Linked DNA regions of Mus musculus. The protein of the gene in region 2 interacts with the protein of the main gene of each other region in a pairwise test. Links are inferred from orthologs where the notes say so. Each region holds a gene or a part of one and is shown on either strand. Other genes may lie near its edges.

Region 1 (6,289 bases), about 65 Mb from region 2:
TGACATGTAACAAGACAGACAGACATTCTGACTGGTCCTTAGGGGTAATCAATATCCCACAGGGACAACTACATTGTCAGTGGTGTCTCAGGAACTAATAATATGCCTTCCTATCTGTGGTTTCTTTCTTCTCTTGTTCATTGAGAGACTGTTTCATCTTTGTAGCCTGTTTTTGCACCCTCTCATCTTCCCTGTGGTGTGTGTCCATGTGTGTCTGTGAGTGTGTGTAGGAATTTGTATGAGTGCATGGAGCTGTGCACCTGTGCACACTCACAGAGGCCAGAGGAACATGTGGGTGTCATGTCATCTATTCCTCTACCACACTTCACTTGGTTCCTTTAAGGCAAGGACTCTGGAGACACTCCCCCTCCATTCTCCCCCTCTTCCTGTCTATTCCTCTCTCTCTTTTGGTTAGACTGGAAGCTAGAAAGTTCCATTGGGGTCTCAGGTGTGTGTGGGACAATGCCCAGCTTTTGTTTGGGTACTAGGATCCAAATGGCAGTCTTCATGCTTATGAAGCAAGCACTCTTAATAAACAAGCCATCTCTCTATCTCTAGTGCTGTGATGGAACCCAGGACCTTGTGTACATTAGACAAGCAGGCCACCACAAAGCCACATCCATTACCCCTCCTTTCTTGCACTTTAACCTTCCTGCCTTCTTCTTAAGGCTGGAAAACAAAGAAAGCAGCATAAGAGCCTTGGTTTGGATATCAGGTCTGGATTCTGCTTGTCTTCTGCCATGACTTAATATGTGAATTTAGATAATTTACCTGTCTGTGTGTTTAAATTAAATGTCTGGACCAGATGATCCCCCTGAAACATCTTTCAGATAAGTTCACACTGGAAAAATCAATTACTTCAGAAGAGATTCTAAAGTCAAGACATGTTTCTATACCTCTTTGAAACAGCTGAAAGAAAGTTCCTATTTACTGTATATTTTAATATTTTCAAAAAGCAAGTGTTATCTATGGAGAAGTAGAACCTGGCAGCCCCTACACTGGATTGATTAATAAAAAGCAAATTCTTGGAAGAAGCAGAGAAATAGGCCACAAATAAGACCTGGCAGTGTCAAAAAAGGTCTATAAATTAAATATTCAAAGAAGTAAAAAACAATGTCTGTTTAACCATTAAGCCATTAACCAGACAAGATCTCTAAGCACAGACTATAGTCTAAAAAGGTCTGAGCGGGAAGAAGCCCCTGCAGGATGTACTGGAGGGAAGGACTTGGTCCATAGCAAGTTGCTATTGTATTTAGTTCAAACCCAGTTTTCTCAGTCTGTCAACCTGGTGTGTGTGTGCACATGCGCACACGCTTCAGGCTGCAATTATGCTTCTGAAGTGCTGAAATGAGAAAGAAACAAATAATTGATAGCAAATTCAAAGGAGTTAATCTGAAGGCAAATTAACTTGGGTTTTAAAATGTCTCATGTATACATCTATAATCCTAGCACTTAGGGAGCTGAGGCAGGAAGCTCATGAATTTAAAGCCAGCCTGGGCTACATGCTAAAACCTTATCTCAATGCCTTATTCCCAACTCACCCCATTCCATGCCTGGGCTGCACACTGAAACCTTGTTACACACACACACACACACACACACACACACACATCCCCTTAAAAGACTGTTTTTTCCACTATTCTATGTGCTATCCTTGTTTATTATAACATGTAGGCTACAGAGTTCTGCGGGACAGTAAACTCTAGTCTGGGGAAGGGCTGACCTCTGCTATGACTGAAAGCTAGAGGTGGGCTATAAGCCTATATACTGTCTGAGAATGCCCTGACTCATGTACTTACTTGTCGTCATTCACAGAAACTGTCTCCACAAAAGGGATTTCTTCTTTGTCTGTCTTCCCCACAATCAGCCGGTGCTTGTCCAAGTTTATGATGCACTAAAACAAAGCAGGATCACTGGTCACTCAGTGATGCTACTCTCAGTTCCCTGCCTCTGAGACGAAATATCAGTCCTACCTTCAGGGATCTAAGAGTCTGGAGACCAAGTGATAAGCTTTTTTCATTATCATCTAATAAAAAACAAAACAGTAAGAGTCAGACATTTCCATGCTGGCTTGGATGTCAGCGTAAACACCATTCAATGCATTTGTATCATCTATCCATCCACCCATCCAGCAAACCAGCCAGCTAACTACCCAATAAACAGCCGTTGAACCTGTACTTTCTCCGATCATTATAGCTAAAAGAAGGTAAAAGCCAAAATTCAAACCAAAGTCTTTTTTGCTCTAGAGGACAAAGGCCTTCAGTAAAACAGAGGCAAGTACTTAGTGTAGTCTAACAGAACATATGAGAAGCACAGAAGGAGAGTAGGCAATCAGGCATTTATGGCAGGAGTACAAGGACCTTGTCTTCACCAGTTACGAGCTCATGAAAAGTGCCTTTTGGGACATTTTAGCTCACACATTAAAAAAAAAAATCTGTTTTTAGGTAGATAAGATGGCTCAGTGGGCAAAGTGATTGCTGTCATATCTGATGACCTGAGTTCACTCCTTGGAATCCACAGTGGAGGGAAAGACCTAACCTCTGACCTCCATAAAAATGGCATGTCACAAGAGCACACCCTCCCCAAACACATACATTAGTAAATGTAGGAAAAGTCTGTTTCCTGTGGCTTATATGCATAATGGAATTCCTTTTATCCATAAAGAATGAAGCTATGCCATTTGCAGGAAAATGGATGCAACTGGAGACATCATAGTGAGTAAATTAAACCAGTTTCAGAAAGACAAAGAATTGATGTTTTCTCTCTTTTGTGTGTCTTCTTTCAGAAGGGCACAGACAGTCAGAGAAACAGATGACATCAGGTAGTGAAGCTGTTGGGGCAACAGTGGGAGCTGACTGAGCAGTGAAGAGTGAGGAAGTGCATTTACATGCCTGTATGAAAACAGCCTTATGTCATCAAGATTATTAAAATTTTAATTACATGTGTTTATTTATGGGGGCATACCTGTGCCGTGGAACACATGTGGAAATGTGAGATCAAACACAGGCTGTCAGTTTGATTCCAACCATCTTAATCCACTGAGCAATTCCACTGGCTCCGTTCTATTTTTAAAGATTTAATGTTTCTGTGTGTGCCTAAGTATGTATGTACATCACATGTGTACAAAAGCCTGAGGATGCCAGAAGAAGGTGTCAGATCCCTTGGCACTGGAGTCACAGGTGGTTGTGAGCCATCCTATATAGATGCTGGGAACCTAATCTGAGTCTTTTGAAAGGGCAGGAAATACTCTAAACCACTATGCCATCTAGCCCCTGGTAAATTAACTAATTAATTAAAAAAAAAAACCTGATGTGCTGAGCTGTCCATGGTGGTACACGCCTTTGATTTCAGCACTGGGGGGGGGGGGGACAGGAGAATCTCTGTGAGTACAAGGACAGCCTAGTGTGTATAGTGAGATCCAGGACATACAGAACTATATAGAGAGACCCTGTCTCAGAACAATAACAACAAATGTGCACAGTATGGTGGCATGAACCTTTAATCCCAGCGCTTGGAAGGGTAAAATTATGACAAAGGTGTAGAGTATACGGAAATGGAAATCTTGGATTTTGAAGAAGTCAGTATTATAGGCATGAGAGTTTATGTTAGACCCATCTGTCCCCCAATTTAACTCACCAACCACAGCTGCTTGGCAATCCAGACGGAGAGAACCCACTGTGATCATTAGGTGCTCAATCTGGCCAACTACTTTGAGATGCCGTGGTAGAGAAAGCTTTTCCCCTTCATGCTTGTGAGATTTGACATGGTCCTTTAGTCTGAAACAGAGAGAAAGCTATTATAATCCCTTTGTCAAAGTTTTCTGTCTCAGAATTGGGTTCTCGAGGGACTTCCTGAGCTAGGCAGGCTATACTTGCTTCAACCCTTTCTTTCTAACCATGCCAGGGGAATACAAGAGAAAACAGGGGACTTGTTTCCTGTCTTTCAGAAACTTAAATTACTACCTGCATTTGTGCAGAGAGGAGTTGACATGTTTAGGGAATTCTATTCTGCATCCTAATATCCCTATTAATGTGTCTTTATCCATCTGCGGATAACAGATATCAGAGGGCAAATTAATCCTAACTTAGAAAAGGCTTCGTTCAAGGTCCATTTTTCTCCTTCCTATTTCAATTTCTTGTCATAAAATTGTCTTAGTCTATAAGGCTAATGGAGACAGGCACTTGTTTGGTAAGACTATTGATACTGGTTAGCAGCAAAGCATATTATGGGGAAAGTCCTCCCTAATTTGACTTGCCTTTGCTGGGATGGAAGGAAAGGAACAGCACCAAGGTTTCACACAATTACATAAGCTGATTGGAATAGCTAGCACCCGAGCTATTATGGGCTGGTGGATAAATACTTAATTAGGGATTTTCTGTGCCAATACTTCTGTTTTCCTCCATTTCCTCTCTTTTGGTATTACAGCCCATCCAAAAGAAAACTAATTGCAGTTTTACAGATGGTTATTAATTCCTCCGGAACCATGGCAGTCTGCTGCCTAATTATGCACCAGGACATCATTAGTCTTTCTGGAACCATCATATTGTACATACCTCATCTCTTCACTACATTAAAAAAAAAAAACCAAAGACAAAAAACTTAAGATTCTTCCCACTTGAGTCCTGGGATCTACTTTTCCCCAATCCTAGATAGTAATGTATAAAATAATTCACAGAACAAACTTCCGAGAGTCCCAACAGTGGGTAGGAAGTGAGAAGTAGGCAGATATAGGAGAAACAGATGATATAATGCAGTCATTAAGAACTGCAGTGAAGCCCTGGGTAAGCCCAGTTGAGAATATGCATGTTTTGGATGAAGCTCTAAACAGGCCACTTGGTCTGTCTCATTAATTACAGAGATTTGGCCTGAGGAACAGTTTTCTGTCTACAGCAGCGGTTGGTTCTCAACCTGTGGCTCCTGACCCCTTTGGGGTGGGGGTGAATGACCCTTTCACAGGGACTGCCTAAGACCACTGGAGTTTACATTGCAGATATTTACATTACAATTCATAACAGCAACAAAACTACAACTATGAAGTAGCAACGAAAATAATTTTATGGCTGAGGATCACCACAACATGTGTATTAAAGGATCACACATTAGGAAAGTTGAGAATCACTGGGTCTACAGAAAACTAGGGGAAATAATATTAGGTTGATTCTAAGCAAGATACCTCAGAGAACATCTGGTACTTTGGAAGAAAGAGTAAGAAGAAGGAAGAAGTAACAGGAAAGGTTGAGTGAAATAGCAGTAAGGTAGAGAAAGCCATCCTTGCTTCTACACTTCTGGAGTAACAACAGGACAACTTGCTGTCTAGAGAATCAAGGCAGGGTATGTACTGAGCGAGAGTCTTATACTTTCTCACTCCATACTCTAGAAACCTGCTCAGAATTTAGAAAGTGGAAATTAACAGAAGGCCCAAGGTCTCCTGCATTTCTCCCACTGTCTGACAAATTGCAGCACTCCTCTCTGTTAAGGAAACTGGTTCTGGAGGAGAGGAAAAGCTTCGCATGTTTTTCTTGCTTCTGTGGATACATCCAAGCATTATAACCTTAAACCAGATGCAAGGAAGAAGAATAAATGCATCTGACTTCTACCCAGGACAAATGGCTACTTACCCCAATCTGTCCACACAGGCTGAGGAGATGAGATTATATTGACAGCCAGTGTCAACCAAAGCTTTCACGTCCTTCCCAGCACACTGTGGGAAGGAAATAGACTCTTTAATAGGATCTAGAGAAGCAAAAGAGGAATGAGACAAAGAGCAAGCAGCAGATGTCAAATGAAAGACATGGGTTGAGAGCAGCCTTCCAACCGGTCGTTGGTGCTGTCCCACTTCCCCCACGGCTAAATCTGTCTTTGACTGGCTCTTTTTCCTGCTAACTAAATCTAAGGCTGATAGAATACCCATAAAATCCTTTATGGGTTTCACTCTATGCTAAATATTATGTACATAATCTTTAAAAAAGATCATCCTGGAGGCAAATTCAGGGCTTTGAGCTAGATGAGCTAGATGAGGCTTGTTTTGTTTCATTTTGTTTTACCTCTGAACTACACGCCAGCTCTTTAAAAAGATCACACATGGGCTGGAGAGATGGCTCAGCGGTTAAGAGCACTGACTGCTCTTCCGAAGGTCCTGAGTTCAAATCCCAGCAACCACATGGTGGCTCACAACCATCCATAATGAGATCTGACGCCCTCTACTGGTGTGTCTGAGGACAGCTACAGTGTACTTCCATATAATAATAAATCTTTGGGCTGGAGTGAATGGGGCTGAAACAAGCATAGG
Region 2 (6,294 bases):
CGTAGGAGGAGGTCACACTGATCAGAGCCCTGAGCCAGCCCAATCTCAGCTCTGCCCAGACAAGTCCAATTAGAGGTTGTGTAGGGGCCTCATTAGCTGTGGAGGCAGGAGTCTGGAGGAGGGGGGGCACCACAGGAAGCTGAAGGCGCTGAGACCAGACATCCAGCGCTTTCCATTCTTACTCAAAGCCTGAGTAAGGCCTCAAAATACACCCCCATCAGTCTCAGAGCTGGACTCCCAGGACCCATGGAGGCTTACATCAGCCTGTTTATTGGAGCCTTATACTGATCTGGAGCCTGTGGGGTCTTCCAGGCCTGGGAACCCTCAAGGCCCCTATCAGTATTTTCCCAGCACCTCTGGCTCCCTGAAGGGTGACAACTATAAACCCAGCCTGATCCTTGGGGTGCCTCCCAGAGCCCCTGGACTCCCTAGGGTCCCTCTGCCCACTCCTTTTTGGAATTGCCAGGATCAGGATGTACTGAGGGCAGGTCAAGGGTTCTGAGACAGCCACAGACTAGATGGAGGAGGGGGATGTGACTCTTGCAGTCAGAACTACACCACCGGGGCAGAGGAGGTCTGTTAACCTGATCCTTACCGCAAGCATGGAGCTCTGCTTCCTTCTAGAGCACGCACTGGCTCTCTCTGCAAGTCTGTCTGCAGAACATCAAGATTTGGTCTCCTGGACTCTGCACCAGAGCCCTCTCTGGGCTTCTGACCCAGCTCCAGCAAGGTACCCACTACCTGAGGTCCAGACTGATGTAGATGACCCCTGGGGATACAAGCTTCCAAACTCTCCGTGGACCCCCTCTCAGCACCCACGGAAAGCCAGATATGCCATGGGCACTGATGACTCTAACTCCTTCTCAGGACTAGAGACTGATGTCCCCAGGGTGTCCCTCCCCCATGCACCAGCCAGTGTCAAGAGGGGGCTCAGTACTTTCTTCCTTTTTCCCTCTGGGGGTCTCTGGATGCCCCTAGTCCTCTGCAGGGCCCATTCTCCAGAGAGGCCTCCTGTGTGCCTGTGCCCTCAGCTACCAACTCCACCACCCTGACACTTTCTGTTGTTACTCTGTTCTGGCATGGACTCACTATGTTCCAGAGGCTGGGGACGACCTTGAGTGCCTATCTTCCTGTTTCTACTTCCTGGGAGCTGGGGTATAGCTCTCTGGCCATCTTGCCCCCCTTCTTTTCTTCTCCTCCTCCTCCTCCCCTACCTCCCTTCTCGGGACCGCCCTCCTTCCCTGTCCCTATCCTGCCCACTCACAGCTGAAGACAGACCCTTTGCCGAGTCACCCGAGACCATGGTGTGGCTTTATGTCCCCAAGCATCTCAGGTCCCACGACAAGGTCATTTTCCCTCTACTGTCCCCCAGCTGGAACAGACACCCCCTCCATCCCAGGCCAGCTGCTACCTAAACTGGACCATTTGGGGTCACTTGTCTTGGGTGACTCATCTATATACAGGGCCAGCTCAGGAGTACACAGGAGCTTCTGCTTAGCGGTAGAATAATTGCCTAGCATAGTATAGACCTTGGCTAGAAAGACCCCTGGTGTTCTTGAGATAGAGCCTCTGTGTAGCTTAGAATCATTTTAGTGGTAAGCCTTCCTTCCATTCCCCCATCTCTCTCTCTCTCTCTCTCTCTCTCTCTCTCTCTCTCTCTCTCTCTCTCTCTCTCTCTCTCACTTTAATATTATTTTTTAAAGACAGGGTTCCTCTGTGTATCCGTGGCTCTCCTGGAACTTGCTCTGTAGAGCAGGCTGGTCTCGGAGATCCGCCTGCCTCTGCCTCCCCAGCACTGGGATTAAAGGCATACGCCACCATCACCATGAAGCTTTTTAAAACGACATTTCATGTCTTTCACCATGAATAAGCGCATCTTGACAGTTTTTCTATGGGGCAGCCTGACTTTGTCTGTCCCTTGAGGGCAGGGGTGTGTTCTGTTGGCTGGGGCTGGACCCCCCACCTGCATCAGGCTCTCTGCAAGCTCACTGAGTAGACAACACAGCAAGACACAGCAAAGGAGCAGAGAGGGTAGAGCCTTGGGGGCCCCTGGACTCCTGTGGCTCAGGGCCTCTCTCTGAGTACCTGTTGCCTAGCAGGGTCCTCAGAGGGAAACTCAACCTCCTGCGGCTCAGGCTCAGGCTCAGGCTCAGGCTCAGGCTCAGGCTCAGGCTCCACCTCTTCCCACTGCCACACTCCATACAGAGGACTAGAGAGGCCAGCACTGGCTACATCCTGCTCCTGGAAGCAGAAGCTGTATGTGAACCTGGGAGGGCCAGAGAAAAGTGGGGGCACAGGCAGGACAGAGGTGAAGGGGGGCACAGGTGTGGGGCTGGGACAAGACAATAGGCGGAAAGATATGGAGGAACGGAGGAAATTGGTGATGGGACCAGATTGGTGAGAGATGATGTTAAGGAACATGGCCTTGGAGTTTTCAGGGCTGGGGCTAAGGCAGAGAAAGCTGGAGAAGGGCAGGCGATGACGAGGTGCTGCTCTGGCCAGAGTGAGGGTCTGAACAGGGATACATGGAGAGTTTCCATGGAAGCAGAGCCTACCTGTCGGATAGCTTGGATCTCCAAGTCTAGTGATGGGGGCAGGGCCATGATCCAGCCTACTCTTCCTGCCTCAGCCCCTTCCAGCAGCCTGGCCACACACAGGGGAGGCCTAGCTTTTGGAACAGACTTCACCCTGTGGCCCAGCCCTCTCCTGCCCCTGTCTGCCCAACCATCCACTCGCTCCCCCCCTCTCCATGATCCATGGCTCATTCATCCCCATTCCCTCCTGAACACCACTCACTCCTCTGGGCCTTCCTGGCTCTGACTCAGCTGCTCCTCCAGGTTTGAGATCTCTTGCCTTAGTTCCTGTAAGAAGCAGAGCATGGGCCCCCGTGGAGCCCACACACTCCTCTTGCCGACACATACTGCCAGTTACCAGGGTGAAGCAGCAGTGGCCAAAGGTCCGGGACTAAGAGAGTTCAGAAGCCCAGAGCACCAGACAGCCCGAGCATCACAAAGGCAGAAGGGACTCTAAGGTGGGTAGATTCACAGAAAAACACACAAAGGAGTTACCCAGACAGACGGATGGACTCGGCCCAGGGGAGACAGTTGCCCCCAGAGAGGTGAGTGCTATGGGAAAAATGTCCACACAAAACAGAGCCAGTAGAGGTCAGGGATGCAGAGTGAGGAGGGAAGGGGCAGAGAGATGCAGTGCTTAGCAGGGAGGAAAGCCAGCTGCAAAGAACCCATAGAGACGGGCAGAAGGGGCACCATGGGCTCAGGTACTACCTGGGTGGTAGTTCTGTACTCCTCCAAGGTCCGGGCCAGACTCTCTGCATGGCGGGTACGCTGGGGTACGGAACACAAAGCTACCTGAGGCAGGGCTCAGTTCCCCAAGACATGAGGCTGCTGAAGGGGGGCTGGCTGAGCTGGGACAGCCTGCAGGCCACACTGTAACCTGGGAGAATCCCTTGGGCCGGTGTGGGTTGCTTGGCTAGGGCCCAGACCTGGGTGGGCTCCTGCCACACAAGGCAGGGGCTATGAAGGCACGCTAAGGGCAGGTCTGTCCCCTCCCTGTCCCTCACCTCTGAGAGGACTGCTTCACGCTGGCAAATGAGTCGTTCGCACTCACAGAGCTGCCGCTGCCAAGGAAAGAGCCTATCCATCTCTTCACAGGCCTCCCACATCTCCCCTCGGCCTCCCACTGCGCACCCTCCTCCCTGCACCGTCCCTGTCCAGTCTTCCCTCAGCTGCCAGTGACACCCGTGGGTGTCAGCTGCTCTGAGGGGGACTCCAGCTGACTGCCTAGGATGTGGCATGTGGATTCTGACGCAAGAGCCTGTTCTCAGCAACTCCAGCGCTGACTCGGGTACAGGGAGGTGAGTACACGTTCCGCACCTTCAAAGCGTCCTTCTCTGTGGCCAACTCCTCACTCCGCCTTTTCACTCCATCTCTCTCAGCTAGCAGCTTCTCATTCTGCAGGGAGGACAGCCATGCTCACCAACCAGGAGTGTGAGGTGGACAGCTGCCATTCACTGCCATGGCTGCTCTCCAGGCAGCCCCTTTCTTCCATCACCCTGAAGGGAGGGACCTTGTCTGCCCTTTCTCCATAGGTGGTTTCCCCACCAATGAGGTGATACCTAGATTGTATGAGGTCCCTGGGAGCTAAATGAGTGAATGAGTACATCTAAGTACTTTGCATGTATGACTCCATTTCTTTTCCCAGTTTTAATGAGATAAAGGCAACTCAGGAACAGAGGGGCTGAGTAATTTGTCTCATGTCACACAGCTCTTACTCATGCTAGCACAGGCCAGTGAACGTGAATGATTACAGACATTAGAGTTGAGTCAGCATGCGCCTGGCATGCACCAGATATAAATGTTAGAGATGAACAGTTATAGATAATTAAAGAAACTCATGCTTCCTAACATACGAAACTAAAGTATAGTGAGCCCAGAATACTTGCAAGTGCGCGCACGCACATGCACACACACACACACACACACAGTCTCAATATATAGCTTGGGCTGGCTTTGAATTTGTAATCCTCCCGCTTTAGCAGGAAGGCAGGTATGAGCCATCATACCTCACCCTCATGCCCACTGTAATAACTAGACTTTGGTTCCTCCTTTTCTTTATTTCTTTTGCTTTCTTGTCTAACTCAGTCATTTTATTAAAGCAAATCTCCCATTTTGCCTGGAGCAACCCCAGTGTTTACCTACTTATGACAACTTATTTCCTTTAGTAAAATGTAATTCCAGAGTTGGCAACAAAATCACCCCGTCTTCTTGTATTCCACCTAGGGTGTTGGCCTGTGGCAGACATATGCCCCCAGATGTGGACCCCTGTAGTGACTTCACAGTCACCTGCAAGCAGGTGGGTAGATCCAGGGCTGGCACTGTCCATATTACATTGGCTCTGTAAGTGTGTGGCTATATAGCCATTAATAGCATCCTTCCCTTCAGCTCTACAGGAGGAACTGAACAGAGGCTACGAGACTTGGCAAGGCTGCCCCATCTGTGTGATGCCCAGTCCCACCTCTAACACTCAGCCTCTGGGGGGGCGCAGATAAAACTCTGGGTGACAAAAGCCTCGTGAGAAGTGGTGGTGTTGTATGCACAAGGTGCACAGGGACCAGAAGTGGAACAAGGAAGACACAGATTACACTAAGCCCAAGGCTCACTGAGAGACTCAAGCTGGGTGGTAGAACAGCCACAGGGCTTGGTTAGGAGGTGGTGCCTGGGCTGAGCCTCCCCAGGGGAGACACTGAGGTCAGGAAAAGGCATCCACAACAGCTCTCCAGTGTGACCGAAGCTGGGTGTGAGGAAATGCAGCTGTCATCTCAGCACCAGGCAAGCTGATGTAGGAGGATAACTTTTAATACCAGGCCAGCCTGGGCTATATAACAAGACCTCATCTTAAAAAACAAAAACAAAGCTGGGCAGTGGTGGCACATGCCTTTAATGCCAGCACTCAGAAGGCAGAGGCAGGCAAACCTCTGAGTTCGAGGCCAGCCTGATCTATAGAGCAAGTTCCAGGACAGCCAGGGTTACACAGAGAAGACCTGTCTTAAACAAACAAATGAGCAAACAAACAAACAAATGAATATGACAATTCCAAGTCCAAGGTTCCAGGCACCTGAAGTCTAGCAAGCCACATCCTCCTCCAGAGCCCAGGAGACGAGGCCAGTAGCTCTTTGGTATCTAGCCCCATCCCTGCTCCCGGTCACCAGTGCGTCATTCATCTCAGCAGCTCGGGCTGCTGGGTGAAGGGCAGAGGAAGGACAGCTGGGAGTGCTGTGTCAACACCTGTCCACCTGGTGGGACCCAAAAGCCATCTCAGCACCGTGCAGCCTCCTGCAGAAGCACCGGCTGTAGATCCTTGGGATTCAGCCAGCAGCCAGACTTTGGGAGACCGAGTATCCTGTTACTCCAGCAGGCCATGCGGTGTAACCTGAGATCTCAATCTCTAGATTTCAGTGGGCAGCTGCAGTGGGTCAGCAAGGGGCTGAGAATAGCTCTAGCTCTGCTTGAACTTGCATGCCTAGAAGTCCCTCTGCAGGGCACAGGGCCTGGTGTAGGAGGCAGGGGTGCAGGTGGCCAGTTCACACAGCTGACTCCTGCCGCCTGCATGACATGCCCTGGGGGCAGTGACAAGAAAACCTGTCTGCTATAGAAACAGCTGTCCCAACCCCTCCTATCTGGCTGCTTCCTCGTCCTCCCAGGCTCCCTTGCAGCTGTGGCTAAGGGATCCTCCCCAGCCAACGATATGGTGAGTTGGCTGTTGAAACAACACACA

What was found.
Region 1: the proteins of Kash5 (region 2) and Nrip3 interact in binary tests that used the Homo sapiens proteins (3 or more experiments, as listed by UniProt). The two-hybrid records come from large-scale screens. The link is inferred for Mus musculus from reciprocal best matches to the Homo sapiens genes KASH5 and NRIP3.

Annotation. Positions count from the first base shown.
Region 1 is NC_000073.6:109,759,848-109,766,136, forward strand, and holds part of Nrip3 (nuclear receptor-interacting protein 3), read right to left. Parts: intron 5,702-6,289; coding exon 5,619-5,701; intron 3,777-5,618; coding exon 3,637-3,776; intron 2,027-3,636; coding exon 1,974-2,026; intron 1,895-1,973; coding exon 1,800-1,894; intron 1,343-1,799; coding exon 1,327-1,342; 3' UTR 1-1,326.
Region 2 is NC_000073.6:45,186,057-45,192,350, forward strand, and holds part of Kash5 (protein KASH5), read right to left. Parts: intron 5,813-6,294; coding exon of another isoform or gene 5,798-5,812; exon of another isoform or gene 5,536-5,797; intron 5,235-5,535; exon of another isoform or gene 4,947-5,234; intron 4,873-4,946; exon of another isoform or gene 4,800-4,872; intron 3,972-4,799; coding exon 3,894-3,971; intron 3,875-3,893; exon of another isoform or gene 3,672-3,874; intron 3,638-3,671; coding exon 3,581-3,637; intron 3,345-3,580; coding exon 3,285-3,344; intron 3,119-3,284; exon of another isoform or gene 2,862-3,118; coding exon 2,797-2,861; exon of another isoform or gene 2,644-2,796; coding exon 2,556-2,643; intron 2,242-2,555; coding exon 2,086-2,241; intron 655-2,085; coding exon 596-654; intron 1-595. UniProt on the Homo sapiens protein: As a component of the LINC (LInker of Nucleoskeleton and Cytoskeleton) complex, involved in the connection between the nuclear lamina and the cytoskeleton.